Arabidopsis thaliana: one gene and its partners. The protein of the gene in region 3 interacts with the protein of the main gene of each other region in a pairwise test. Each region holds a gene or a part of one and is shown on either strand. Other genes may lie near its edges.

The links.
Region 1: the proteins of PLIM2a (region 3) and AT2G14880 interact in a two-hybrid assay, tested with the Arabidopsis thaliana proteins (one large-scale study listed by BioGRID).
Region 2: the proteins of PLIM2a (region 3) and SAP interact in a two-hybrid assay, tested with the Arabidopsis thaliana proteins (one large-scale study listed by BioGRID).
Region 4: the proteins of PLIM2a (region 3) and ATAF2 interact in a two-hybrid assay, tested with the Arabidopsis thaliana proteins (one large-scale study listed by BioGRID).

The regions. Positions count from the first base shown.
Region 1 is NC_003071.7:6,391,011-6,397,981, forward strand, and holds AT2G14880 (SWIB/MDM2 domain superfamily protein), read right to left. Parts: upstream 3,991-6,971; 5' UTR 3,832-3,990; coding exon 3,523-3,831; coding exon of another isoform or gene 3,514-3,522; exon of another isoform or gene 3,342-3,513; intron 2,793-3,341; coding exon 2,676-2,792; 3' UTR 2,300-2,675; downstream 1-2,299. Other genes in the region: AT2G14870 (RNA-binding (RRM/RBD/RNP motifs) family protein), read left to right, coding at 162-467.
Region 2 is NC_003076.8:13,934,628-13,944,919, forward strand, and holds SAP (Transducin/WD40 repeat-like superfamily protein), read right to left. Parts: upstream 6,241-10,292; 5' UTR 6,160-6,240; coding exon 5,953-6,159; intron 2,964-5,952; coding exon 1,830-2,963; 3' UTR 1,459-1,829; downstream 1-1,458. Other genes in the region: AT5G35760 (Beta-galactosidase related protein), read left to right, coding at 16-155. UniProt on the Arabidopsis thaliana protein: Transcriptional regulator involved in the specification of floral identity. Acts as A class cadastral protein by repressing the C class floral homeotic gene AGAMOUS in the external flower organs in association with APETALA2 and other repressors.
Region 3 is NC_003071.7:18,856,151-18,862,927, forward strand, and holds PLIM2a (GATA type zinc finger transcription factor family protein), read right to left. Parts: upstream 3,129-6,777; 5' UTR 2,858-3,128; coding exon 2,723-2,857; exon of another isoform or gene 2,674-2,722; coding exon of another isoform or gene 2,632-2,673; coding exon 2,503-2,631; exon of another isoform or gene 2,420-2,502; coding exon 2,003-2,419; 3' UTR 1,791-2,002; downstream 1-1,790. Other genes in the region: PMM (phosphomannomutase), read left to right, coding at 397-473, 557-592, 719-774, 859-958, 1,039-1,134, 1,220-1,309, 1,408-1,459, 1,551-1,603; AT2G45810 (DEA(D/H)-box RNA helicase family protein), read left to right, coding at 3,686-4,062, 4,150-4,210, 4,298-4,532, 4,680-4,918, 5,140-5,391, 5,485-5,665, 5,743-5,831, 5,931-6,004 and 1 more. UniProt on the Arabidopsis thaliana protein: Binds to actin filaments and promotes cross-linking into thick bundles. Has an actin-stabilizing activity. The actin regulatory activities are inhibited by pH > 6.8 but are [Ca(2+)] independent.
Region 4 is NC_003076.8:2,857,016-2,864,231, forward strand, and holds ATAF2 (NAC (No Apical Meristem) domain transcriptional regulator superfamily protein), read right to left. Parts: upstream 3,544-7,216; 5' UTR 3,130-3,543; coding exon 2,970-3,129; intron 2,881-2,969; coding exon 2,600-2,880; intron 2,509-2,599; coding exon 2,098-2,508; 3' UTR 1,834-2,097; downstream 1-1,833. Other genes in the region: AT5G08780 (winged-helix DNA-binding transcription factor family protein), read left to right, coding at 168-317, 406-1,187, 1,280-1,367, 1,472-1,795; AT5G09210 (GC-rich sequence DNA-binding factor-like protein), read right to left, coding at 5,704-5,833, 6,211-6,506, 6,612-6,885, 7,110-7,216.

The DNA of each region.
Region 1 (6,971 bases), about 12 Mb from region 3:
CTCCTTTGCCTATGATCAATTAATGACGGTTTAATATCTTTTTCCTTTTTTTCCCTATAAAAAAATTCTCACGTGCGTCTATCGAAATCACACTAAAATTTTCTTTTTTCCATGAGAAGTTTTTTTTCTCTCCGGCTAAAGGAAGAAGAGAAGGTACCACAATGCCTCCTCGCACGGGAAAGGATAAACAAAACCCCAGGCTCCCACCGGAGGTGACTCGCCTACTCTACATTTGTAACCTTCCCTTTAGCATAACAAGCGAAGATACGTACGATCTTTTCGGAAGGTACAGTACGATTCGTCAGGTTCGAATCGGTTGTGAAAAGGGCACAAAAGGTACGGCTTTCGTCGTATACGAGGATATCTACGATGCTAAGAAAGCTGTCGACCATCTCTGGCTTCAACATAGCGAACCGGTACCTTATCGTGCACTATTACCAACATGCGAAGATGAGCAAGAAGTTTGACTTGAAACATCTGTTAGTCAACGCTAACTACTGATGACTCAGCTGACCCGTGAGTATCAACGAGGCATATTCTTCAACTAAAACGACCTTGTTTTGCTATTTTGAATTTATTTTAAAAAAAATTGTGAAAATATATATTCGAACCAGAGACCCGTTGCTTTTGTTCGTTACCATTGAACAACAACCATATTTCCAATAAAACTGCAACTCTCATATTTTTTATATATTAATAAAACATAGGAGAAAATCAATAAACCTAGGAATTTTGTTTTCTTCTTCTTCTTCAATTTTTTTCATTCGAAACACAAACAAGAAATTGAAAAACAGAGACTGTGATCGAGAGAAAGAAGACACAATATAACATTAAGACATTAGTTGAAATCCAAGGACACAACAATTAAATCCGAAGACACAACATATCCATCTTAAAGGTTATACGAATTTAAATCCGAAAACACAACATCTTTATAGTTTTACAACGGGTTTCCAGTTCGAATACCATTTTTACATTTAAAAAATAAAGAAATTGATTTCAAAATAGCAAACCGATGTCATTTTAGTTGAAGAATATGCTACTTCAATATATATGTATCAACTGAGTCAACAATCACTAGCGTTGACTGACATCTTTTAACATTGACTTGTAGTTAAACACTATATTAATAGTTCATGTAGTTTTCTTTTAAATTACTTGTTTACGTATAAATCGGTATTTGTCGTTAGTTCACGTTGAAAAACACACTTTTTACCAGACCAAGGGCTTCTCTCTCTTAACACACCTCTATCCTTTAGAGAGAGAGGGAGATTTCCGGTTCACCGGAATTATCGCCGCCGCTTTTGTTCTGTAATATAGAAGTTTTCCGACTGCAGTCAGATTGTTGTTTTTCCGCTTCGTCGGACCAATCTCCGGTTAATCCGGATCTAATAAGATCCAATTTGGTTACTTAAGATTGGATCAAGTTTTTTTTGTTTCCTCTTTCTACAAGGCTTTCAATCCATTATCCTCTTGCGATCTCTGGATCTCTTCCTCCTACCGTCGGCTTGCCTCCTCTCTTTGATCGGAGTAACATCTTCGCCGCTTCATATGACTCTGTTGTAGTCGAGGACTTTCTTTTGGTCTCAGGCGGAGCTTCCAATTTAGGAGATTGGGTTAAGGGATAAAGATTTCTTCAAGTCTTCTTTGAGCTTCTTTCAGACGGAACCGGTGATTGTTCATCAGATCTGCAAGACGAAAACTGTAGAAGGAGTACGGTGGTGGTTGCTTGAAGCCAACGGAGGTGCTGAGTCAACTCGCAGATTTGCCCGGCGCCGACTGCTTCTCCTTCTCCTTCTTATGTGTTAACACGTGGTGTTACACGTGGTGTTACACGTGGTGGCTCCTTATTTTCTTAATCTTTTACTTTATTTAGTTTAAGATTAAGCAGTTGTTAACCTAATCAAGGATGTATATGTTGGAGAATGGGCTTATGTAATTTTCACTTCTTTGTACTGCCCATTGGGCTTCCGTTTTAATGGAATTTGGCCGACTAAAAACAAAAAAAGCCTTCTACTTTACAGATGAGAAGGAGAGACAGACAAGTTTCAATGGGCCGAACCTAAAACCCATATTTAGATATTTTGATTCCTAGTTTCACATATCTATAGGCTAAACCCAAATTAATACTAAATTATTTGATATTTGTAAATGGTAAAATGGTTAATTTTCTAGACAAAACGAGATTCAATCTATCCAGAGGTAATATGAGTTCGTAATATAGCGAGTGAAGTGAAAAATGTAAATTTTCTCGCTCTTTTGTCAACCGTTTCTAAGTATATACGTCATTAGTATCATACCACAAATCCCTGAGCCTAGTAGATATGTCTTCCAAACCTTACCTCAATCTCTTCTCAACGGAGTATGTACATGATTATAAAACGTAACTAACATGTGTGAATTTCGAAAACTAAATAAACGGAAAAACATGTTGTCAAAAGCCGTTTACCGTTAGTCAAACAAGAAAAATAGAATCTGAAATCGAAACGAAAACGCAAACAACATTAGGAAGCAACGACTACATAACATCCATTGAATTGAAGCAACCAAAAAAAAACCTAATTTACTAATCTAAGTCTTCCTCAACTTCAAATACCCTTCTCTTTTCATGGCCATAACAGGTCAACAACAAAACATAGACAATCATCCAAATAAAGTTCCGCGGAAACAATCCATCAGAGGAAGTGAGGACCGATGAGCTTTGCAATCTCTAGGAACCCAACCCGATCTCTTCCTTCGAATATCTTCTTCAGCTTCTCATCACACAGTATTTCTCTCTTGTTTTGTGGGTCCTAAAGAACAAAATTAGTCATTTAGTAAAACTTTGATGCAAGTAAAACATCTTGAAGTACCGTAGCTAAATTGGTTCTTTAAACTTTGAAACCTCAAGACATGTCAATGAGAATAATACAGAGCTTTCTACTAGAGTAAAGTTTTGGCTACTTGGTTGCTATAGACTATAAATCTTGCAGAGAAACAGCATCCACATTTAAACACTATAGAACTAGAATTTCAAGAGCTGAAAAAAGTTCCATTTCATACTTAGAGAACCTGAACCAAACAGCAACAATACCAAGAAGCAGAGATCAAAACATCAGAGATACAAAGCCAATGACAGAACATATTAGGATTTTGGTCAAACTAGGCAACAAGGTTCAAGAACATAGCCCAGAGAAGATTATTAGTTATCTCTAAGGATACACATAGCCAAGCAAGTAAACGAGACGCAATCAAAGAATCAAATTTGCTTATACAAAACGTTATAAACAACTACCCCCAAAATCATATGAAGCAATTAGTCACCAAAATATTTTCAGCTTCCTAATCTAAAGAAAACTTACAAGTTACATAACTAACAAGAAGACAACCTAATTCAATTTCTGTCTTCTTGAATCCAGACCGTTCAATTTTCCTACAGAAACCCTAAAATATCAAACCACCGGATTGAAGAAAGCGAAACAAAACCATAAGAGAAACCAAAACCAGAGTGTTTCTGAGAGAGATTCTTGGTTGTTAAGTTACCTGAAGGTCATGTTCTTTGATGTAAGCCCAAATACGCTTAAGAGCTTGTGTGCGAGCGATTTCAGGAAGTTCGACGATGTCTTGCATCTCTGGTGAAACTGGTCTAGGTTTCATGATACCGCGTGGCACTCTCTTATTGGTTGCGGTTGGCTCTGAAGATTCCGTCGCAGATGTTACCGCTCGAACCAAGCGTAGTTTAGCCGCCGGGTGAGAGGCGAACCGGAGAGAGGACAGAGGAGTTGATGGGTTGCGGAAAGATGTCGTTTTGATGCAGAGGAAAGTGGAGAATGTTCCAGAAGAAACCGCCATTTTCGGTGTGCTTTGTCTGTGTGGTGGTGGAATTGGGAAGGTGAAAGGGGTTTTGTGTTATCCCTTTTGCTTTTTGGTTTTTATTTTTTTTATTCTTAGTATTGGAGTTTTGTCTTCATCGAGGAGAAACACTATTTATTGTCTTTTATTTTTTCTAATGGACAAATTGTTAAAAGAAAACCTTAGGGAAATTTTTGGTTAAATACAAAATTTATGCGGGTTAAAAATATAAATATTTTTAGAATCTAAAACTTTATGATAAAAAAAATAATTGACGGTCAAAAAGAACTGAAAATATAAAATTAGAAGTGAAAACTTCAAAAAATTTAAAATAAAATCGATAAAATGGAGACATATCAAACTAACTAAAGAAATCAGAATTTTTTTAAAAAATTGATAGAATGTATCGAAGATGTCTTTGGCCAACAATCATACAAATCCTTCTCTTAAGAAGCCAAACTTTATAAGCGTAGTACAACTTTTTAAACTATGCTTCATAACCTGGCAAGAAAAACTACTTAGAGTTCCAAGCTAAACCATAGAACCACACCAATACACCATAGAAGCAGATTTCGATCATATATAAAATATAGAGACGAGAAGCAACAGATCAAAACTAGATAACATCAATCTTGAATGATCAAGAAAACTAAATGATTGAACCTATGTAAACCCTAGTGAACAATAGAATATCCAAAGATATAGCAGCGGCCGGCCTGAACATCTCGACCATCAAACCAACTATCAATATCACATAGTAAAAGATAAAACCGATATTCTTATTGAAAATACCTAGAAAATTACGACAACTAATCTTCTAAAATCCGAGACCTTGCCTGATCAAACTCCTCAACCGTGGAAGTAGATGAAATGCTATTCGATAAACATCACTGAAATTGTTAGCCTCGTCAGAAACTATGTTTTCCTCAGAAAAATTATAGTCGGAGGTTTTTTTTGCCCTCAACTGTTGTCGCTAACCAAACGAAAAAAAAAAAAAAAAAATAGGTTTTCTTTAATTTAATATTTTCTGTTTTTTCTTTCATTTTTAATTCAAAATGGCAATAATAGTGAATATACAAATTTTTATGGCTATAAGATCTTTTTCAAAACATATATATGTGCTATTATAGTTACCAACATCTTGACTAAGCTTTTGGAGTCATTACTTTACTTGTATGTGCTATTAGACATAATGTCTCCAAAAAATGGGTTATAATAATCTTAATACCCAAAAAACTTAAACATAAGAACATATCTATTTTTTGTATAATTAGTTCTCTCTCAACAATTTGTATAAGTTGGAAAAATACATACTTTCACAAATCACAAATTGTTTAGCAATAGAAACAAATAGATATCGACGTTTTAATCTGATTCTGGATATATTGGTTATTAAATACAAGAGTAAAAACATATTGTGAGTTAGATGATTATCTATCGGGTTATCATGATAACAAAGTATATATCAATAAGTTTATAATTTATGTGCTAAATTTATATTTATCGAGTTAACTCATTTATCATATCATATGAAGAACAAAATAACGAGTTATATAAGGTATAATATTTGTGTGGCAGATAACTATTTGATTAATATGTTAACTAGTATAGTAATATAATAAATTTAATTTATCAAAAAAAATTAAAGAAAAAAGATTGTTAGATACTTGAAGTATAACGCAACACATGACTACACATGTCAAGTAAATTAAAGAATATTCAGCTTCTTGATGTATATAGATTGCATGGCCACATATAGAAAGTATATAGCGTTATGTGGTCAACATCATAAATATAGCATTTCAGATTAACCGGTCGACTAACTCCAGCGTTGACCAACAAAATATTCAAAATTATTTTTTATTATTATTAAAAAACTTTAGTTTTTTTGGTATTGCATAATAACTGAACACAATATATATCTAATATAAATATTTTTGCATTCATAAGTAATGCATTGATTCTTATACTAGTTAGTTTTTCAATTTCAAAACTAAACTAAGAATGTAAAAAAAAAATTGAATAAAGGAATCATTTTTGTTATCAATTAAAAGAATATTAAATTCTTATTTCATTAGGAGATAAATCATTAGAATCAAACCCAATACATATGACTATAAGAGTTTCTTTTTATTTTTTGAAAAAGAGTTTCATTAAAACAATAATATGCAAAAAATTTGATTAAATAACTTTTTAGTCTAAATTTTGCATAGTAATTTTTTAAATTCAAAATTGAAATTTTATAAAATATTTAATCAAATAAGAAGTTAATATTTTTAATTGATAATATAAAACCAATTACCTATTAATTAAAAAAATTTATCAATTAAATAATTAAATTCTAAAAACACTAACAATTAATATTATGAATAGTTCATATCTTAAAAAAATTACTCTTAATTTAGATTTGAAATTGAAAAAAACTAACTATTATCAGATTCATGCATTAAATATATATATATACAAAATATATTTATATTAGATATAGAATGTGTTTTTGATTATATAATACCAAATAAAATTATCTATTTTTTAATATTAAAAATAAACTAAAAATTATTTCTGAATATTTTCGCTGGTCAATGTCGGTTAACTAGAACTAGTTGACTGGTGAACTTGAGATTCTCGGTTTATAATATTATCTACATGACGCTATATACTTCATTTATGTGGTCATACAATCTATATACGTCGAGAAGCTGAATATCCTTTAGTTTATTTGGCATATATGACCATGTTTTCGGTTATACATCACATAACTGATAATCTTTTTTCATAAATTCAATTATTATGTAATAAATGAATATTATCATATTAAATAAATTATTATATCATAAACATCACCACAACCGATAGAATCATCACCACTACCCTCTGAACCATCACGGCATACAATCATTTTTGCACAAAAAGTTAACCATCGGTCCGTCAGAAAACTTAACAATGTACAATCATCTCCATCCTCCAGCCTTCTTCTCTTCCACGATCACCATCTTTTTCTGCCATAACAACGTGGATCTAACTTCAATTCCTCCAAAAAGAAAACCTTAGCGGCGATGTTTTGTTTTAATAATAGTTGTATTCACTCACCAAATAGTTAAGATTTTTGTTTATACACTCACCAAATACACGTTTGTCAA
Region 2 (10,292 bases), on a different chromosome or scaffold from region 3:
TGCTGCATTTTTCAGGCAAAGCAATCCGACTAAAATCAAGGAGATGTGGAGGGGAGAAGCTTCCGCCTGATACCAACGGTAAGAGCTCCACATGCGGTGTAGCGATGCAGAGTAGAAAAGGGAGATCTACGGCGAAGAACGAGAGAGACAAGTAGATAGATCTGAGACCGAAAATTGTGGCGGTTCCACGAGATCTTTGTCGATGGGGGAGGTATATTTGATCCGGCAAAGCGAAGCCAACGTCGAAGGTCTCTGTTTTCTATTCCCTACTATTTTCTCTCTTTCATGACTGAGCAAGGATCTCTTCAACAAAAACGAGATCGGCTCTCTTCCTCCTTCTCAAAACAACTCTACAGTGGCGGCATGGCAACAAATTTTGGATCACCATCTCGTTTGGCTGTCCTATTTCAGCGAGAATCTGCAGTTTTGGACGGCGGCTCGATCATGTTTTTTGATTGAGATTAGGGTTTTCAATCTTGGTTAGTTAAATTCGGTTTGTAAATTTGAGATGGCTTTAGTTTTGAGCTGCTTTGTTTATTGTATTGAAGTTTGTGGATTGGGTTTTTGCGATTTTGTATATGCTCTATCTAGAAATAGCCCATTAGACATTATATATAACAAAAAAAAAACATGAAAAACACTAGAAATCATACAATCAAATCCGCATACCTGAAACTTAAAAGACTGGCACATTCGCTAATAATGAAACATGCATCAATGGTCTCTCAAGAGTCATATTATTTGCATAAGTTGATTTGTCCCTGCAAATTCCAATACAAAGCCTTGTGGACTTAATTAAGATAATAGATGTGAAAATTCAAACACATGAATCTGTTTAAAAGACAAAATAAACGTGGCATTATATCAAACATCTTGTAATTTCATATACATAAATATCAAATTGATATTTCCCTCTCTTTGAGAACTGTCCTTACGAATTCGTTTCTAAATAACATGTTTTAGATCCTAACTGTTTGTGTTCTTATGTGATGGTTTTTTAGGGACCGGTAGGTACAACGTGACTCATTCTTGTGAGAATCCAAGTTTTGAACTATGATTTAAAGTCACAATATATGGTTACCATCTCAAATTTTATGTAGAGTGCAACTTTTTCTTGAATTGGCGTGTGTTTGGTCTTCTCGAACTTGCTTCTAACGCTATTTCAAACTTGGAAAATTTTGATTTTCACTCTTTATCATCTTGTTTGTTCAATGAGATTAGCCGTTTTGTTTGTATATTGGGTGTGTCCAATTATGCTCTTTTCTTATGTTATTGTTTATGAATAACTTGTTGAACATTTTACTTATCAATTCACTCCAATATATCCTAAAATTGGGATATGCTCAAATCACATCTAGATCTCATGATTCATATTTCTATACCATTCTTTCGATTTTGATCTTGTTTCTGTCTACACCTCCTGTAAAATATATTTTTTACACAAAATGTATTTAAAACCCATTATACAAAATAATAAACTCCAGTAAAGTGAAGAATTACAAGTAGAAGAAAAAAAAAAGACATCTCGTACAAAGTCAGAATTGAGAGAGCCCTAAACACAAGGAAAAAAACAAGAACAACAAGAAAAAGTCCACTTTGTTTGGTTTTAGACAAAAACAGTAACTTACTTTTTTGGTCAAACTCTGTAGAAAGAATCAATCTCCCTTGTAAATCTCACCCTCCTGTCACCATCTTCCCTCCGTCACTTTCCCAATTTAATTTATAATCAGAAACCCTACATATACACCTAGGTTTAGGGTTTCGCTTTTTCAGAGAAAAATAGTTTCTTTTTCTTCAAGTTAAAAAAAAAAAATTATTAATCTGGTACGCTACAGTGCACCGAAATCCCATAGATGTATAATACTCTGAGCCGTTGATGAAGCTGACGCAACCGCCACATGTCTATCATCGGCAACAATGGCGTCAACTTCTCCTACTCTCTCCCTAATACTGTACAGATACTCTCCTCTCTCTACCTCCCACACGCGCATTATACCACCTGCGCACATTAGCGCGTGCAGTCTATTAACACAACCCATTACTCTTCTCTGCGCCGCTCCACTAACACGGAACTCACACACCGTTTGTTGCGTGTTCACCCTTCGCACGCTAGCGTTTCCTCTACTGTCCAATCTAACGTACGCTTCGTCGTTGGCATCGAAGCCTGTCACTATTAGTCCTCTACGTTGCTCTTCGTCTTCTCCGATGATCACTCCTTGGTTTCTTAGATCGATCACCATGATTCTCCATCTCGTGCATGCTACCGCCGTCTCGTTACCGGAGATTCTGAGACGGCCAAGGGACGTTGTTAGCTCTGTTAACGTGTGCCATCCCATGACAGCTTCAGGGTCGGTGAGTGTACCACCGACGAATGTTGTCTCTTCGCTGTTACAGTCCCATATGTGAAAGGCACGACCTGGCACACCCGCGAAAAGACCGACCCACCAACGTCCACAGCCAGTGAAATCTACCAACGCACCGTCGTTAACTATATCTCCTGCGTAAGCCGTGCGTGTGTGACCAACACCGTCTATTTCCGCCACGTGGATGTCTCCGTCCATCGTAGCGAACGTGAGCCTTGAGTCGGAGATAACAATGCCTGAGACGGCTCGTGAGAATCTACCAAAGCGGTCACGTAGAGGTGGCCGTAAGGTCCTGACGTGGAGTCGGTTGTTTAAAAGAAAAAGCCGGACGGTTCCGTCGGCGAACCCTGCGGCTAAGTAGAGGTCTGAGAGGGTGAGACAACGGCAAGAGAGACTATCAGGCTCGTCCACATCAGACGGGTCAAATTGGAGAGTGAAGTAGGTGTGAGTACGCGTCCGGAAGTTTCTAGCCGTCCGATGACGGTAGATGAACTCGTCCCGCCACGTGTCGTGCATCAAATGTGTTCTTGCCCAAACTTGGCGAGATAGTAGTTGCCATAGATGGTCGGAGCGAGAGACAGCGTGCCACGTGGTGCAAACCTGCGATTAAGAAAAATTATTATAAGTTTTAACAAATATTATAATTAGTAGCTTAATTAATAAATGTATAAATAAGGGAGAGAGTAAAAAAAGACATAGAAAGAAGATAAGTAGGCCTGCAACGAAGCATGAAAGACTCTATATATAGGGACTAGGAAGATGGAAAGACAACGACAGACTCAGACACAAGCTCTGCGTAATATTTGTCTTACTCATCGAAACACACAACTCATTTTTATAAAAATCTATTTTATGACATATGTTCAATTGACGGGACTAATCAATCTCTGGAAGCTATAGATAGAGATATAACAACAGAAGCCCTAGTGTAAAAGGAATAATGAGAGGAAGCCCTAGTCCCATGTCAAAAGAACAAAAAACAAATCAATGTGACAATAATACAAAACAGATGATATGTTAATTTATTAGGACAGATGAGAAGACTTTAAATGAGTTAAGCTGAACATGAGATTCCGACTTTGCCAACAAGCGTGCCCTTCTCTCTTTCATTTCCAAGAAAGGATAGCTTTTAAGCCTTTGGTCTTGTTAAAAGTAGAGCTTCCCATAAATACACAAATATTACACTTATATATAGTAGATGTTTCTCTGTCTCTCTCATCCCTCTCCAACAATCCGTGGACCTACATTCTCTACATTTACGTTTATATTGTTATTTATTGTACATCTTTATTCCTCATTAAACGCAAAGTAATGTATTTGACTTCGTACTCTAGCTCTATAGTACAACCTAAAATCAAATATTTCGAATTCTATACGAAAAGAAAAGATATCTTGTCAAACCAAAGGTTTAATGTCTATTAGTCAGATAATCATTATAAAAAAAGAATAATCTAGGCACTAGGGCACGAAATGTAACATAAAATAGATTAGTACAACAAATAACATATGATGGAATGGCAAATCCTATTTATTATTATGCAAATTACCAATCACATCAATATGATATACTTCAAATAAGAAGGGAAAGAAAGTAGTTCAAATATTCCTGAGTTCTAAGATGACCAGATTCAGAATATCACTTTTGTATTTTAATGTGTGATATATCAAATGTAAGAACATAGTATATAATCTATAGACACCACTGCACGTGCTCTAAGAGACCCTTAACATTGGGTTCCATGTGCTTTTCGGCATATGTATGCCCATAATGTCGTCTCTTTTGACTGAAAAAAATTAAGGAAAGAAAAAAAAAAGATAAAAACCCACTTCAATGGAAAAGATGAATCGAGTCAGGAAAAAAGATAATTCCATGATCAATTTCAAAGTAAAAAACAACAATGAAAACTCTAGACTTATAGCCTTAATTCTCTGACAAAAGTGTTATGCTGTAACTACACTGCAGTTTCTTAAAATTTTAGGGCAAATTTGAAAATTCAATTAATTAGAAAATATTATGGGATTTAATAATGATTTAGAATTATCATGTATACATAGAGAAGTGAGATAAAATAAGAGAATGAGAAGTTGTCAGAAGCTCTGCATGCATTACTCAGTGGATCATAATATTGGCAGAGAAAAAAATAACAAAAGCAGGACGCAAAAAATGTACATATGTACTTATATACTATTCCTCGTTACTATATATGAGAAAAATCTTCAGCATAATATATATATGTATTATTTGTTTTTTTATGAACAAAAGAAAAAACAGCTATTTTCATATATAACATAGGATTATTAAAAAGAATAATATGAATGCCTGATATAATACATGGATCATATATCTGTTGATGAATAGAGTTTTCATGTATGTAGAAAATAACCTAATGTGGTAATATAGGACTAACATTGGCAAGGCAAAAAGACAGGACCTTACTTAGGTTTCTTTTCATTCTCTTTTTAGATGTTGTTAAATGTGCAACGACATTTTCTAGTTTTATGAGTCTGTCGTGAGAGGTCACTTTCTATTATTATAATTTTAAAACAATTAGCAGATAAATACCGTTATAATTATAATTCTAAAAAATATTAAATCTATTGGGCATTGGACTAAAGACTGTGCCTAATGTCTATCAACCAATATTTGGAGACAAGAAAGTGTTTAATTTGATTATTATTGTAAGAACTTTTGAGTCAAAAAGTGGATTTCTTGATCTTAAAAAAGGGCTTTCTACATGCCAAGAAAGGAAGATTTAAAGCCAATAAAATAAAATAAAACCTTGATTTTGTGCCCTAAGGGATCCAATTCATAATATAATATTAATATTAGAGTTACTATGCCCAAATGTTGTACAAAGATTACACAAACGAGATGGGGTTGTATGGTCTCCTTAGAGGATCCAAAAATAGACATTAAAAGGTATCAAAAGTAGACGAGAGAACAATGAAAAAGAAATAAACTTATTGGGTAAAAATGGAAGACAAAAAGTTTCTAAATACATAAAAGAAAAACAAAGTCCCCAAACTATATGATATGTGAAAGAGACATCAAATTAATGTCGTCTTGTTAGACATAAAAGTTGGACTTGGACCCATCATAGAAACACAGAAAGGGCGGTTACCTTTCCAAAGGTCAGTTTTTTTTTTTTTTTGTCTCTTCAGAATCCCAACCTTACAAACTAATATCACATTCAATCGAATTGAAGTAACATCATCACTTAATTATGATCTAAAGAGTAAGAATTCGTTATACCAAAAAGAATTAGAACGGCAGAATCAAATCTAAGCTTAGAAACAACTAAAGTACAAGACACTTGAAACAAGCAGTACATTTGACTAGACCAAGATTGTGTCCCTCCACTTAAGTTATTATAGACCCACGACTACTTTGACTTTGTTTTGTCTGCATAAGATCTATGTCTCACTATTTTCAAGTTCAAATATAAGCTAATAAACGAATTCAGATAGTGTAACGAAAATATTACTTTACTACCTGAAGTACATATATATATAGAGAGACACGAGATAATTGATGTGTCTCGACCGTTACAAAACTAAAAGAAGGTATTCAAAGAACGTTAGAACTGACCCGAAAAACGTTGGCAAGAGCCGGAGCTGCGGCGAGGAGGCCGGCGGATGTGGAAGCGTTAACGGCAACTTGAACGGCGAGAGATTCAAGAAAAGGCTCCGGCCAAACATCGTTGGCTCCGCGGCGAGGGCGGGATGGAGATGGGGCCTCGAAAACGCCGCCGCTTCCACCGGCTCCGTTGTCGGAAGAAGAGGAGGAGGTAGACATGAGACGAGAGGGGTTATAAGAGGAACAGGGGAAGAAGAAGAAGCGGAGAGAGGAGAAAGAATGGTGGGGGAGAGAGGAAACAAAGGACAAAAAGTGTAGATAAAGACATACTTCTCCGAGGTGGGGGACCCAGGTTGTGAAGGTATGTTTTTTTCCTATTTTTATTTTCTTTTGTCAAGATTTGTTATTATTTGTTTTTGTTTATTCTTAATAGATGCAGATTTGTTTGTGAAATAGCTTCAATTTTATATTTTTTAGGAAAAGTATTGGTTCAGTATGGTGACATATTTCAAAATTTCTTTCTTTTGATATGCAGATTTTGAATTATAATGGCAATATAACAGCTATATTATTATAAATCACTAGATTTATATTTTGACGATTTTTTATATTTAAAATAGTGTTATATATCATTAAGAATTCAACAATATATTTGCTAAGTTTATTTCCTTCCGCGAACATTAGTAAATTTTTTGTATATGGTAAACTATTGGCTAAACACAAATATTTGTAGATCGATCCATTTTAAAAATGAGAAATAAAATAATATGTATACGCAAAAAATTTGTCAGAGAGATCAAACTCGTAGCACCAAATCTCGACTTTCATACCAGTAGTAAAAACTTTTAAAGCATAGTTTAACATATTTTTTTTTCCCAACATACTATTGTCATTATAAGTAAATAATTTTTGGAAATCTGGTTAAGCATATTCTTATCATTACAATCCTCAAACCTAGAATTCGCCATATTCTGTCATCACAAAACTTAACCCTACTTTTTCTCATATTGCAGCTATCACGATCCTCAAAACCACGGTTCATCGTGAACTTTAGTCCAAACTCATCACAAACCAACACATGAGCATGCGATGCTTTTAAGTTTATTCCTCAATCTAAATATAGAAATATTTACATTTTCTGAAAATTATTCATATATATAGTGCTTTTATATAATTACAATTAACATTTTTGATTAGTATTTTTTAGTTAAAACATTTTTATTCTTTTTTAATTAAAAATAATTAACGAAATAATGATGAATCACGTTATTAAGAGAGAAAAAAAAATAAAGCCACATTATTAACGTCACTAAGAGGAACATTTTGGTTTTCCTCCCAGACATTGTTCATCTTGGGAAAAAAAAATGTCTTCTCTTTTACTAGGTGTTTATCCGAAAACGAAGAAAACCTATTTCTCGTGGCTATTCTCTCTTTCTCTCGTCTCTTCCGCCCGAAACTTTTAACGTCGTTGTCATCGAGTCACATTTCGTCTCAACTCAACTTGTTTCGATATGTGTCAAATCTTTATTTCGATTTTTCCGACAATAATCAGACATCTAAGTTCAATAGCAAGTGATTCCCATGATTAAAACCATTTTCTAAAACCACTGTTATGATATTGATGGTTTTTATCGACGCTTATTACGGCTGATTTTTGCCGTCGATTTACATATGGTGGCTGATTTGTTATTTCTATTCGATTTGATGGCTGAGTTATTGTATGCTTTAGGACTGATTTATGATTTATTAATGCATATGTGGTTGAGTTTGTTTTGTGTTGTGGCTTGGTTACTGTATGTTTTATGACTGATTTATGATTTATCAATGCATATGTGGCTAGGTTTGTTTTATGTTGTGGATGAGTTATTGTATGTTTGACTGAGTTATGATTTATCAATGCATCTGTGGCTAAATTTGTTTTATGTTGTGGCTGAGTTAATGTATGGTTATGGCTGATTTATGGTTTATTAGATGGCTAAGGTTATTTCTGAAGAACAAGCAAAGGATTACCCTCTAAGAATTTACGCAGAAGGAGAGTCTAATCTAGAGAATAAACTCATTAATCACAATATCAAGATGACATATTTCTATGGGATTTAGAGAATTAGTATGATAAGATGTGTGGGATCAAATGAAGGAGGCACCTATTGGAATAATTACTAAGTTATCGAATAGTCAATTCGTGTGGTCTCGTAAGACTGTACATTTTCTATTAAGTAGACAGTTAATAATACTTTTGAAGGAGATTTGGTGTCTCGTTGGTTAATGCTATAAAGATGTTGAGGCCTATTGGAAAGTCGTACACCATCAGTGGTATGGTTTTCATGTTACAGGCTTGGGCATATGATTCAGTCAAATGCTTTGGAGAGCGATATAGGAACGTAGTCAATAAGGATGAAATATCGTTGCTTAGATGGGGTGGAAACCGTACACGTACAACAATGGAATTTGATGTAGGTCAAATTGCTCTAAGTTTACTCCCTCAAATAAGAGATCGTCGTTAGTACTTAAGGGTAAAATTCCACAAAACTCTTTTGTTCACACAATAGGCTAAAGTATCAAAATCAAGCTAGATAGATGATAAGAAAATAAAAAGAAAGCAAGTAAGTAGATAGTGGATTGTGAAGTTGTAAGACAAGATAATAAAAACGTTAGGTTTAGGGTATTCTCAGGAAATAGATGATAAGAGATATAGAAATAGCTAGGATGTTATCGAATCGTTCTTAAACTCAAACCCTAATTACAGAATAAGCGGTGGTTCGCCGTGCTACTCAATATGCCTAGGGCTAAAGATTCCCAGCGGTCGCTTGGCAAATCCCTATATTAAGACATGCATGATAAACGAGTTTGATAAGTTCACCTAAATAGATAGGCCGATTCTTATTTCACATCTATAAACTTGGCTCATCAAATAGTATTTCTGGTAACATATACCTTTTTGGGCATACCTATTATTTAAGATTAAGTTCTAATTAGTTACTCTAGAACTAGCATTAAGAATAACCAAAGATGAAAAATCCTACATATATCCTAGCAGGTGAACAATCTACTAAATCATCTAAATCCCTAATGAGAAACCCTAACCCTAACAAGTAGACTACTCATACATGATGGATGAAACAAACAACATTTATGAATGAGAAAGCATAAACAAAATCAATAAGAAGAAAGAGTTAGAAAATATCTCTTCGGTATTATTGAAATCTCTGATAAAACTCAGAAAAATGAATCCAATGTATAAATAGCTTATAAAATGCTTTAGAACAAGTTAGGTGGCTAAAAACTTGTTAGGTCACAACAATGACCTTAAAACTATATATATATATATATATATATATATATATAACCTAAAAACGTGTAGGTTACATTATTAGGGCGCAACTGGTGTCGATCGACACCAAGAGTGTGTCGATCGACACTCTCGACTTGATCTGAAACTAAATTCGTCATTTGGCTTAGTTTCTTTAGCATTTGCTCCAAATTGTCTCCTTAACTCCATTCTTGTCCCAATCCAAAGAATACCTTAAAAGACTCTAAAAGGACTCTAAAACCTATATTTAAATCATAGTTAATGTTGGTGTCGGATCCCGCATCATGGGCTCGGATCCGGCCAAAGATTGCTACGTGGGTAAAAGAAGCCCATAAGAGAAAGGCCCATAAACGTCCTCGAGGTGAGAGTATGGATGAGGTGTTGAGTTGCGAAGTGAATACATCATCGAAGTCAAGACTACCCGGATTGAAGAGGCCGAATGGGCCGAAAGGTGAAGTCAAGAAAAGCTCGGAGTGGATTCAAGTTCCAACGTTCAAATAGTTAATTCGAAGGCTAGAAACGGACACATTTAAGATAGAATGATTGTGAGTAAATAGGTATTAAATGTATTCTTTGGGTATAAATTGTGGGTCAAAGACCATGTAAAGACAGACGCATTTCTTGGTGCAAATTAGCTATACACACTCTTTTACAATACTCATAGTTTTCTCTATAGTCACTTGTCTATTTTCTAGTATATTTGTCCTCAAGAATAATCCTTCCCACTAAATAAATAAATACTTGAGTGTGCGAATCCGACATCCACAGTTAAAAACAGTAAAAATAGGGTTATATCAGAATCGACCATTGCTAAAGATATCTAAGTGCATGGTGAGATAAGGTTTTGGCTGTGTTGTGATAGTTACTGATTGAGTTATGATTTGAAATGGCTGATTTATGGTTTGTGATGGCTGATTTATATTTTATGATGGATGATTTATGGTTTGTGATGGCTAAGTTATATTAGTGATGGTTTAGTTTTGATTTATTGATATTTGAGTTATATTTTAGTGATGGCTTAGTTATGGTTTAGTGATGGTTG
Region 3 (6,777 bases):
ACGACTGTGATCGGATCGGAAAAACTATAACCTGCTGTAGAATTTTCGATTTGGTATTCAAAGAAAGGATATTTTCCTACTTCTATTAGAATGGTCTCTTTTGCTCTTTTCTACTATATATGGATGGATCCTTTAAAAGTGGAGACAAACTATATAGATTTTCTCTGCTTCAAATCTTTGACTAGATCCATTAGTAGCATGCATACAGAAGATCCTTGAAGTCTGTAGATTTGGAATTTGGGATAGCTGCTGATCATTAAGTTGGTTGAGTTCAAATTGTGGAATGAGTTTGATTTACCTAAGTCTTAGTTCAAGAAGGAGTTTTAGATCTGGCTCTAATTTTCTTGCCTTGTGAGATTCTCTTGGCTTAAACTTTTGAATTTGTAAATTTTGCAGTCACAAACGACTATGATTATTGTTTCTCTGAGAATGGTCTTGTCGCCCATAAAGATGGGAAATCCATTGGAATTCAGGTGCATATGAACCTATAGCTTTACTTACTTACATCCACATTGTTGTTTTATCGTTTCTTAATAGTTTGTATCTTTTTTCTCAGAGCCTGAAGCTGCACCTTGGAGACGATAAACTCAAGGTAAACTCATATCACTGTCCTTCATGTGTCGTAGCAGCAGTTGCTTTAGTGGTTTTATTGATGTTGAAGTGTATGCAAGTATATATGTATATAGATAGTTTCTGATAGCGTAAATTGATGATGCAGGAGTTGATAAATTTCACGCTGCACTACATTGCAGACCTGGATATTCCAATTAAGAGGTATAACGTGGATCCAACTGCTAGTCTCTAATCATGTTTGCAAAGTGATAAGATGATTTATTTTCTTGAAATTTGTATACATAGGGGAACATTTATTGAATTCCGAAATGGAATGCTCAATGTATCACCCATTGGTCGCAACTGCAGCCAAGAAGAAAGAGATGAATTTGAGAGATATGATAAGGTAGAAGAAACTATATTTAGTTTGTTCAATTTCTTATAGAATATATTTTGAGCATTGTCATTCAACACTTTTTTTAAAAGGTTCAAAACATCCGACCAAAGATGGTAGCTGAACTTCGTGAGCGGTTTGCACATCTTAACCTTACTTTCTCAATTGGGGGACAGATAAGCTTCGATGTGAGTAGAATCAAAATGTGGATTATAACAATTTCTTAAATCCATTTTTTGAGTCACTGAGTCTAATCAAATTGTTATGACTTAGGTCTTCCCTAAAGGTTGGGATAAGACTTACTGCTTGCAATACCTCGAGGACTTCAGTGAAATCCATTTCTTCGGTGACAAGACCTATGAGGTATAAGACTCATCTCAACTCTGCAAATCTATTCATTAGAGTTGTTGTATGGTTTCCGTTGAGCTTGATGGGTAAAAATATGGCTTTTACTTCTGCAGGGTGGAAATGACTATGAAATCTATGAATCACCAAAAACAATTGGCCATTCAGGTCAGCTACTTGGATATATTATCGTTTAATCTCTGTATGTTTGTGTTGCGAGATATTTTCATGACAAATAGGATTGTTTCTGTTGTTGCAGTTACGAGTCCAGATGACACAGTGGCAAAATGCAAGGCTCTGTTCATGTCTTGAAACACTACTCATCTCAAGAACACAGTGTCAAGAGTTTGATTCTTCTTTGGCGAAATCTCACAACTCTTGATTACAAGAAATGGAGAGAAGTGTGTTTGAATGCTATCTATACCGTATGTTTTGAATTTTGATTCATCAAATAAAATATCTTGTTATAACCTTTTGTTTCAGAACATGGTCCTCAAAGTTTTAAAACTAAAGGTTAAAAATATCCTCTTCAAAAAAAATTGGATGTTAAAGATTTTGTTTACAACAGATTCTCTCCAAAAAGAGCTTTAAAACTTTACAAGAATTTACAAGAAGAAACAACAACAATTTGTATTTATATATTCATTAAACAGAAACGCATATAAAAACTTCAAACTTGAGAACTGATAAGATCATTCCTCCACGACATTTTCAAGACTCAACGACCGGCTCAGGCTCCTCTTCTCCTGCAGCTTCAGGGGCAGCGTCATCTTCTTTTGCTTCGGGAATTGAGGCGGTGTCGTCAGGTTTGTGATCATCAGAAGGAGGAGAAGCGCCACCAGAAGAGGCGGATCGACGGTGGTTAGCAGCGGCTTGATGGACGTGATTGTAACTGCCTTTCTCGAGAAAGAGCTGATTGAAGTGGACTTTACAGTAGAGGACGCCATTAAGAGAAGCGTAAGAAGAGTGAGTCAAAGGACAACCACTGTGTGTGCACCTGAAGCAAGTCTTGTGGTAACTTTCTCCTTCCATTGTTACTTTCTCAAGTGGGTAAACCGTCTTCTTACAAGTCGCACATTTGTCTTGTGTTCCACTGAAGAATGATGATAACTTGCTTGGAGTTCGAGTCTTGCAGTATCCATCAATTGAGACAAATCAGATGAAAAAAAAGAGGAAATAAAAACAAGATGATGAATCTTTGAAGACATTACCAGATGATCATTGGGCTTCTCGGTCTTTCCTGCCTGAAAATTCTTGCTGTAATTGCCAGATTCTTTGAAAAGCTGTTCGAAGTGTGGCTTACAGTAAAGAACTCCATCCATTGATGAGTAATTGCTTATCTGTGTTAAGAAAAGATGTGGTCTTTTAAAACAATGAAGCATTGTCGAAAAACAGAGTAACAATGGAGGAAGAAGAAGAAAAGAGAAATACCACGAGAGTGCCTTTGCAATGGGTGCATCTGAAACATGATTTGTGATAAGTATTACCCTCTAATGTTAACAAATCCATCACGTACACGGTTTTGTCACAGGCCTTGCATTTATCCAATGTTCCTGTAAACGACATTTTCTCTCTTTCTTTCGGATGTTAGATTCAAAAAGTTTGTTCTTCGTTCGCCGGTTCTTGTCTTAGGACACGACCAAACGACGACGAGAGAAAAAACACCAGGTTTTGTGTTTTTTTCTTTTCATCTCTCAAGTTCTCTGTCTTATTTATCAAAAATTCTTGAAGAAATGAGAATTTGTGGTAATTTTGGTTCTAGTGGTAGAGATTCGAAAGAGGAGAAGCCATTCAATCATTGTCGATCATCAAAATTCTAATTTCAATTTTACAATTTTAGACTCCGAGCACAATGAAGGGTATCGACGTTTTCAGCCGTACGCTCTGTTTGCGGAAGATCCGAAGATCTATTTTTAAAAATTACGAGAGAATAATGATAAATACAAAGAAATGTGGGGGTTATTTCATAATTATACGAACGTACAAGGCTAATTTAGTGAAATAAATGTGGATAAGAGTGAGTGAAACTGAAGAAGAGCCTGTCCGTGTAATGAAAATCCACTTGACGACCTAAACAACAACAACGACTCCGGCGAGTGTATGTATCTTTCACTTTCTCACTAACCAACCAGACGACAAAAGAAAATTATTCATCTTAGCTAAGCTCGATTAGTTTCTGGCGGAAACGGTTTTGTGGATAATTGTTAGCATATTCCGATCTTGCCCTCCCCCGAGAGAGAGAGTCCAATCAATCAATCAATCAATCATCTCTTACGAAGCTACGTGTGACCTAACATTCTCCAGATTGTTGTTTATAGCCTCTTCTTAGATTTACGATTTGTGAGCTTGTGAAGATTTCTTGGTAGAATTAGAGTTCTCTGTTTCGAGATCGAGATGAATAATAATAATAATAATAGAGGAAGATTTCCACCGGGGATTGGTGCGGCGGGTCCTGGTCCGGATCCTAATTTTCAGTCACGGAATCCGAATCCACCTCAGCCTCAACAGTACCTTCAGTCACGGACTCCGTTTCCACAGCAACCTCAGCCTCAGCCTCCTCAGTATCTCCAGTCTCAATCTGATGCTCAGCAGTACGTTCAGCGAGGTTATCCCCAGCAGATTCAACAGCAACAGCAACTGCAGCAGCAACAACAACAACAACAGCAGCAGCAAGAACAACAATGGTCTCGACGGGCTCAGCTTCCTGGTGATCCAAGTTACATAGATGAGGTCGAAAAAACGGTTCAATCTGAAGCTATTAGCGATTCTAAGTAAGTGCTCGTTTGGAAGAATGGTTATTATGAATGGTGCTCTTGTTGTGATGTTTAACGGGTTATGTGTTTTCTTATGCTTATCAGTAATGAAGACTGGAAAGCAACCTTAAAGCTGCCACCACGAGATAATCGTTACCAGACAGAGGTATGAATGATTGCATAGTTATATGATTTTTGTTTTGACAAGACAGCAGTTCCCTTAGAACTTAGTTTTTCCATATCTTGTCTTCAGGATGTGACTGCCACTAAAGGAAATGAATTTGAAGATTACTTTTTGAAGAGGGATCTGCTTAGGGGAATATATGAGAAGGGTTTTGAAAAACCATCTCCTATTCAGGAAGAAAGCATTCCCATTGCTTTGACTGGTAGTGATATTCTTGCTAGAGCCAAAAATGGTACTGGGAAGACTGGTGCCTTCTGCATTCCTACCCTTGAGAAAATTGATCCAGAGAACAATGTCATTCAAGGTTTTTTACTTTCCTTTTAGAACTTTTCTCTGTTAAAAGATCTCCTACCTTTCTCTGTAGTGAGTTAGTTGATCAGTGGAACTTCCAGTGAAACCCTACTTTCTTACTGAGTTTTCAGTACTTTTGTTGATCTTTTTTCTTATGCAGCCGTAATTCTAGTTCCAACCCGAGAGCTCGCCCTTCAGACATCCCAGGTTTGCAAGGAGCTTTCCAAATATTTGAAAATTGAGGTTATGGTCACCACTGGCGGTACCAGTCTGAGGGATGATATCATGCGATTGTATCAACCTGTCCATTTACTGGTTGGAACTCCTGGAAGAATATTAGATCTTGCCAAAAAGGGTGTGTGTGTTTTGAAAGATTGTGCCATGCTTGTAATGGATGAGGTGAGTTCCTAATTCTATTACCCCTGAGCTAGATTTTTCTTATTAACAAACATTGTTGGATTTTTGCCCAAAAGGACATTTCTAGTTTTTCCCTGAACATAACTTTCTCTAAAGTTAAAACAAAATCGATTCCTCTTATGCTTCATATTTGCAGATTTTGATTGAATAATTTTCTTTTCCTCATGAGCTCATGGTCTTAACTCGCAAACATCTTTTTTCAGGCCGACAAGCTTTTGTCTGTAGAATTTCAACCTTCTATAGAGGAGTTGATACAGTTCTTGCCAGAGAGCCGGCAGATTTTGATGTTTTCAGCTACATTTCCTGTCACTGTGAAGTCTTTCAAGGATCGGTATCTCAAGAAGCCTTACATTATCAATCTCATGGATCAGCTCACACTTATGGGTGTTACCCAATATTATGCTTTTGTTGAAGAGAGACAGAAGGTGCACTGCCTTAACACGCTATTCTCTAAGGTCAGAGTTTTGTTACAGTCTTAAAACCCCAATGTTTTATTTTCTGGCTACTTGATGTATCTTTTAAAGGAAATATTGTTTTATCTATTGCAGCTCCAAATAAACCAATCCATTATCTTTTGCAACTCTGTTAATCGTGTTGAGCTGTTGGCCAAGAAAATTACAGAACTTGGTTACTCATGCTTCTATATCCATGCAAAGATGGTTCAAGACCATCGGAACAGGGTTTTCCATGATTTCCGCAATGGTGCATGCAGAAATCTTGTTTGCACTGGTACGTTTTGTGTATTTCATGTGCTTGAACATTGACAAATGTGTTTATGTTTCACGGGGAATGTCTGTCTGTTGCAGATTTGTTTACACGTGGGATTGACATTCAAGCTGTGAATGTGGTGATAAATTTCGATTTTCCTAGGACTTCTGAGTCGTATCTACATAGGGTATGTTAAGGGAAGCCGATTTTGGTTTATCTTCTTGAGAACCTGCTCTGTTTTATTTGTTCAAATTGTGAATGGGTTTTTGCTTCATTATATTACCAGGTAGGCAGATCAGGACGATTTGGACACCTTGGGTTGGCTGTGAATTTGGTAACTTATGAGGACCGCTTCAAAATGTTCGTGTTTCTTTTTCTCAACTGGTGTGGCCTCTCTTTTCATAGATGCTATAGCTTTCTTACTCAATTATTTGGTTTCCAACAGGTATCAGACAGAGCAAGAACTTGGAACTGAAATCAAGCCCATACCTTCACTTATCGACAAGGCAATCTACTGTCAGTAACTTCTACCTGGTGTACATTCTCTACCCGGCAAGGCATTGATGGACTAACCGGTGAGACAAATCCCTCTCTAGGCATCTTGACATTAGAACTAACCTGCATTGCTCATAGACCAAATTTCCATTGATTTTGGTTTGCGGTTATTTAGGTGTAGTGAGGAGGCAAATCATTCAGCTTTGGCAGCCACTAGCTCGTTCTAGAGATGAAGGCAACACATAGAGTACTGTACTGAGGCAAGAAGAGACAGTATAGGTGGTTGATGGCGATGGAAGCGGTTGATTGTGTCTAAACCTTTAAAGCAGTACCGGCTTGATTTGGTTTGAATTGAAGACTTCTTCTGCTGCATGATATGAACCTTAAAGTTGTCTTCTCTCATCTCTAATTTTCATGTTCTTAGAAACCTTTTCACCTTTTCATTTTGATGTTCTCTCATCTTGAAGACTTGAGAGGAATTTCCGAGTAGTGAGATCAAACCGAAGAAGACATTTTAACTTCATTCGCTTGTTTATTGCTTTTAGATCTCCACCTGTGCCTGAACTGTTTAAGGATTATAGTTGGTGTGTGTCAAGTCAAGTGTCTTAGCATTTTAAGAGTTACAGATCAGATGTGAA
Region 4 (7,216 bases), on a different chromosome or scaffold from region 3:
TTTTTATGGATCTGTATACTCCTCTAAGTCTCGTTGGAAAATTTGTACGATCATGTAATGTTTGAGTTGTTCATAAGTTTAATTGCTTGATTCCACAATTTTGAGCACTTGTTTATGCATTGAATCTGACTGAATGTTAACTATGAACAATTTTTGTTGACGAACAGGCACATGAAAGAAAAGTTGAGAATCTGAGAGGTTTTATGGTGAATTTGGCGAATTCAAGAGACTTTTCCCTTCCTGAGACTAAACTCTTCCAACAGAAATTCTTGGATCTGTGTTTATCCCGTACTCCTGATCATCCCACTTATTCCGCTGTATGTATGAAATTATAACATCTATTATGTGCATATACACACATACATATCTCTGCTGTGTTCTTATGACTGTATACATTTGTTTCAGATGATATTTATTGCTATCATGGATTTGAATAAAGAAGGTGGCGCAAGTGAAGATGCTATATCTGAGTTTATAAAGTCGAAATACAAGAACTTGCCATTTGCTCACACGAATTTGCTTAGTCATCATTTAGCTAAGCTTGTGGAGAAAAGAGAGATACTTTGTGACTGCAACAACGACTGTTACTCTCTCCCGGGTGAGAAGAAGACTGTTGCTTCCACTGATGTTCAGAGAAAGAGCGATCTGATAACAGTGAGAACAAATGATCAGCGTGCGGCGGATGAGGTTATGACTTGCCAAAACAAGGAAGAAAGTGTTGAAATTTTGAAGTCTGGGGATCCTAAGGTTGTTTTGTTGGAAGAACAGAGTTTGACTAAATCCCGAACCGGCTCCAAACGTAAAGCATGTTGTGTCATTAACGTCATTGAAGTAATGGACACAGAAGATAATGGATTCAAAGCAGGTTTAAGGGATTCGACTGTTCAAATTCCTAGGAAAGAGGGAGTTGTTGAAGTAGTAGATGTAGAAAATAGTGAGAATGAAGCTAGGATTGAAGCAAACAGTAGAGGAGGTGAATTATATGAAGTGGCTGTTCTATATAAGCAGAATGATGTGTTGATGGAAGAGTCGGGTAAAGAAGCAATGGAAACAAGCTCAATAGTGAGAAAAGCAAAACTGCGCAGAACATCTAACACAACGAAAGAAAATGTGGAAGTCACGAGTGAAGCATATAAAAAACTTTGGGAGTGCCAAACCGAAGCATGCAGCAATATCATTGCTCTAGAGTAAGCTCTGATCCCTTTTGTTGCCTGTTTTTCTATTCATCTTTGAATTAGCTTAATGATTTTCATGTTTCTCTTTGGGGTTGGAAAAATAGGAAAATGCTAAAACAGTGCAAAGAGAAAGACCAGCAGAACAAAGCTGTTTCAGAAATTGATGATGTTTCTCGTTTGCCTTTATCAATGGTGAGGACAAAAATCCCTGTTACGTCATGTCACTGATATGTTTTTGAGCTGATGAAAAACAGGTTCTGAATGTTTTTTTGTTGTCTCCTTTTCTTTATCCACAGGAAAGCTGCAGAGAACTGTGGAAGGCTGCCCAAAAGTTACAAAGCCAGCTCTCTGAGATCATCGATTCATGTGATGAAACCGTGGTTCCATATTCTGTATCTCCAGGATGTGAACTCGAAGGTATAAGCAAAGGATTATGCAAAGAGGATCCCAAAATGAAGACTCCTCGTGGGAATAATGGATCTGAAAAACCCTCCACACAGCTTGAACAGAAGGAAAGAGAGAAGTCTTCCAAAAAGAAACCTCAGGTCAAGAAAACGAGAATCAAAAGTCTCAGAGACATAGGAATAACAGCTGTGAGGAAATCGCCTCGATTCAGCTGATGATACTCATCAAAAAATGCTTCCGGAGAGCATGATATCTCATAAAGGTTAGGTTGTTATTTAATATCAGTATCTACATAAGTGCAACATCTTGAAGAATTTGAATATAAATTTTTAGTTTTCATATAAACTTCTCATGAAAGAACAAGAATGTGCCTGCTAATGAGACATTGATGCTAAAAGCTATTAACATTCTACAATCTTCTTTTACTACTAAGAGCCAGGGATGAGTTGAGATGAGACTCTTCTCTCTGGCACATCACAGTACTACTAGCAAACACCTTTTTTGGTCTCTTCCGTTTTTACCCCTGTGGAGCAAAACTCCAATTCAAGAATGGTTTCTGCTCAGGCGGATCCTGGAAGGAAGTGAAATAATCAGACTGATACAAGAACTGAGGGACAAAAGCGTCAGGCTGCAACAACTCCATGGAACTACCAAACATTGAAGTATCAAAAGCTTCCAAAGCATCCTCAAGCTCTCCCCATTTAGGCTCGCTCTGAACCTCCAAAACATCCGGTGACACCACGTGACCGTGACCACCTGAGCTGCTGGAATCATCCTCTTGCAATGTCGGGTAAGTCGAGTCTGATGTATCAAAAGGTGATGATGACTGTTCAGCCATTGTCGTGGTCCTCGGCTTCTCATCCGCGGGGAAATACTTCTCCATGGTTCCTTTCTTGTTGTATATTCGACATAAAACCCAATCATCAAGCTGTACAGCAAAACCCACCACAACAAAGTTAATAATCTAAATCATCATTCACGAAAAGATGATACATAAGTTAATAAGAAACAGAACTTACTCGTAGGTTGTTCTTTTTGTTAACAGAAGCTGATCTATCAACATTAGCGAGACGATACTCATGCATTATCCAATTGGTCTTAATCCCTTTTGGAGCTTTCCCTGCGTAGAAGACGAGTGCTTTCTTGATACCCAACGTCTTCGGTTTACCAATCGGTTTATCTGCTCCGGTAGCTTTCCAATAACCGGTTCCTGCTGCCCGGTTAGGACGCGAACCGTTTGGGTATTTCCGATCTCTAGGTGAGAAGAAGTACCACTCTTTCTCTCCGTACAGAGACATCTCTGAAAGAAGAACAAACATCTCAATAAACAACGATTCTCGAAGACACATGATTTCGCGAAAAATAATTAGAAGAAGCCCATAGGTGTACCTGGAAGCTCCCAAGGATTGAACTTGTAGAGATCAATCTCGGCGATAACCGGAGCCGAGATCTGCTCGGAAGCACATTTCCGGCACAAGTAGAATTTCACAAGCTCCTCGTCCGTTGGATGGAATCGGAACCCAGCTGGTAAATTTAGCTCCGACTTCATTCTCTTCTTCTTGTCTGTTGCTCTTGGAAAAATCTCTTCTTCGTTGGTTGAAAATTCAATTTCAGCTGGATCTGGATTTTTTTTGGGTTTTCTTCGTCTGCTCAAGATTGTAATCGAGGATATGTGAGTGAGGCGACGAAGGTTTTATAAGGACGAAAATCGCCGAAATGTTTTAATTAATTTAAATTGAAAAAACACAAAAAACAGAAAAGAGATGACACGAGGGGATTTTCAAGCACGTGCGGCAAAACAGACCGTTTTCTTTTCTACGCTGACCGCAGCCAGCTGGATATATACGTGGCGTAATATTATTGGATAGTCGACTTAGATGTTGTCATTGCTTGCGTCACTTAAACCTTTTGTGAATTGTTGACCGACTTTAGACCATCTCCATTGGGAAAGAGAGTGTAGAAAGTTTCTTACTTGAGAAACTTTGAGATACTTTACAACCCATCATGACAATTCTCATCTTACTATTGGTTCAATTTTTTAACAAAAATACTTTTTTAATTAAATAATTAAATTATAATATAATATTAATATTTTTTTTGTTTGAGAAATTTTGTGGATTTCTCGTAGATGGAAATGCCTTTATATGTCAAACCGTAATCTCCTGCTTCTCAGTGTAGCTTATCGCTTTTGTTCCTTTACTTACCACTAAGATTTACCACTAAGATTTAAAAAGAAAAATCTCAGCAGCCACTACTTTTTTATGATATTGAAATTGACACATTATTGTAACCTTGCTGAAGATAAGTCAGCATTTCTTGGGGCGGAAGTTGTAGTTTTGACTGGTGATTGGACAGTTTGATGAAACTACGGTGAGCATCTCCGCAGCTGATTAATTTCCTTCTTCAGGCGAAGCTTTGCGTCATGATGGATGACGTCATTTAAAGTTGCAATCGCCAATCATAGTCACTAATTATAAATACTCTCGACTAATAATACTACATTCACATAAATAAAAACATTGGAGTTCGCAAAGAAAGCGTTTGCGCTTTAGTTTGAGTTTCCCCGTTACATAAAAATATGTGTTAAGGACAACTATTTAACCACTAGCTTAATCCTTAATTAAGTACCCATTGAGCCGCTTTCATTACAGACTTAATTTATAATTCATAAGTTTGATTCACTAGCAAATAATGCCCATGAATCCTCTTCTATTTTAAAATCTTTAAATGTAAAGTTGAGGTAGGTGTGTATGCAAGCATGACGTGGGCTTGTTCCCCGTTTTATGATCATCATCACTTACGTTTTCTATCATATTATAAACTAATTATGATCGATTCAACGTAATGTTTTATAAGATCATGGTCTTTTCCTTTTACTATTAAAAGTCCCTTAGTAGCCAAATTAATTATAATACGAAATATTTGTGGTCAAACATGACTTTTTGTTGTTGTCAATAAGGATTCTTTATCGATATAAGAATGCAAGTTATATAAGTCGTATCATTTCATACACATCTTTTAGGCTTTTAGCTAAATAATTTTCGTGCACTGACGACTTCATTTTTTTCTGTCGTTTTAGATGATAACAGTCAAGTCTAGAATAAAAGATATGACCACTAATATTAAACCAAAAAAAGAAAACAAGAAAATATATAAAAGACATCGTAACGCATGATTTGTTCCTATTATAAAATTCAGATCAATTGGATCTGGACTTGATCTGAATTTTTATGATAAAGAGAGAAATCGACTTTATAGTTTTTTTGCAGTTGTTTGTTAATTTAGTCGCGGTGTGAATTGAAATAGGAAGCTTCGTGGAGCTTGATGTTATAGCTGCCGAACTTGACCCAAATTATGCAAATATAATGTTTTGGTGATGGATTATTACCTTTATGTTTTGTCGTTTCTAGAAATTTACATTGGAATATACTTGAGAATTTGGATAAGGAGGAGACAACTTGGGACCTCATTGTCGGAACTTAGAACCTATCGTTAACAACAATTAGTATCACATATACTACATACTATTCTCTATTCATATGACTACTTGTCTTATTCTTATGTGCGTGCGTATGACAAAAGTCTTACTATATAACATTCGTTTGAAACCGTGCATATATTGTAGTTAATTCTAGCATTTTAATTGGAATGTTTGAGTAGTGAATTATAAGTTTATGATAGATTTCTCCAACCTTCCGAGTTTCTAAATCGAATTTACTCAAAGCTCATACCTCTTATAATCGTGTGTAATAAACAACTTGCAAAGTTTCTTCAAAAACCAAACTACTTGCTAATTGCAAAAAAAAAAAATCAAATAAATACATCCATTTGTCACACCATTTTGTCCCTCTCTCTCAATCAATTCGTCACCGCAACTTAAAAACATCGGCCCAATTTGTCTTTCTCGACACAACAACTTAGGAAATAATGGGTCACGTTTGGGCCTTAATTTTGGGTCACTTACGGAAAACGGTTTCGGTTAGCTGGAGATCAACATCCAATCCGAATTCATTGTTAAATAACTTTTATCCTTACGGAAAACGGATCGGTTAGCTGGAGATCAACATCCTCCTAGAGACTGAATGATCTGACAATTTCCTCAGCGTGTCCATGTTCATGGAGCTCAACAAGTATTTTCTTTAACCTGCGGGCGAGACCAGTGGTTTCCGTATCGACCAGTCCCGAGGCAAACCTTTTTCTCGAGTATTCTTCCAAGTGTCAGAGTACAATCCACAAGGGGTTGCAGCAGATGACTGAAAAATCAAATAAAACATGCATGTGAGTATGCATCAAAGCAAAGTTGCAACACAAAGTGGTAATGTCCTAATCTGAGATGTGGATATCATGGGGAACCAAATGAAGATAGGTTAATGATACTTTGGACGTGCGTAGACCCGTTTTTTTTTGTTTTGTTTTAATGTAGACACACATCTTAGTTTCTCACTCTCACGTTGGCAATCGTATCAAAACAGTAGCTTAATTTTTCATGCAGACTGATTGTTATAACTGAAATGGGACATACTATGCGACATCACAAGCTCAATTTCACAGCCCTGGACTATGAGTAACCTTGATGTGTGCGAGTCAAAGCAAATTTTCTGATGTTACTGTTCAAAGAGATTAAAGTTACCTGTGGGTTCTTGTGACACTTGGTCCAGTCCATACTCCAGACAAAGAAGCAACGATCCTTTCAGTTTTTGTCACAGCATCATGGATATTTGATTCTGATGCAATGCTTCTGACATGAGGTAAAACTTTTCCAAACAAAAGGTCACTCAGAGCCAACTTCTCCAAGACCGGAAGCTCCATGACGTCTTTCCACATACAAATATTTCTCATAAGACGGACTGATGTCCCAAACCTATATGCTGCAACTTGTGGAGCATTAGGTACATCCTTTGATACCTGAGGATCCCATGTTGGAACCTGGAGAACAGAGAAAAAGATCAGAGGATATCACTAGTCCAGTAATCTCATAACAGACTAAAAGGGATTTATTAGGAAATTAGCAAGAGAAATTCAAAGTCATACACTAATAGCTATAATGGCTTCAACAAGGCGAGCATGAATAGCAAGAGAAAGTTCCGCTAGGGCCTCACTCGAAGGAAAAACATATCTTGCCACCAAGCTTGTAGCAGCAACAACATTTCTCGTCTCCCTGGTGCTAAGTATATCCCAGCAACGAACTATCCGATGGTGCAAAATGGGAACCGCAACATATTTCACTAGCTCAGATACAAAGTTGGGATTAGTACAAACTGGTGTAGAACCACACACAATCCTAGAATGAAACAGCAGTCCATGCCTGGAGATCCACAAATAAATCGCAAGTCAGACCACTTGCAAAAAAGCAAAGAAAACACAAATTAATGGCAAGTGAGATCACTTGCAAAAATGGAAACAAAACAATGGGTTTCATTAGATGATATGCTTAAGAGATGGTGCTGAAAAGGTGAAGTGTGTGTTTGACAATGAAAGTTTGGATAATTAGGAAAAAGTTGGAAAGCGCTAGCTAGCTAGTAGCTTTACCAATTCATGTCAGAGAAATCGACATCCTGATGAAGAGGATCCCATCTCAAAAGCTCCAGTCTTAGATAAGGTGAATACATGGAAGGAACGGTCAAAGACGTGTAAGC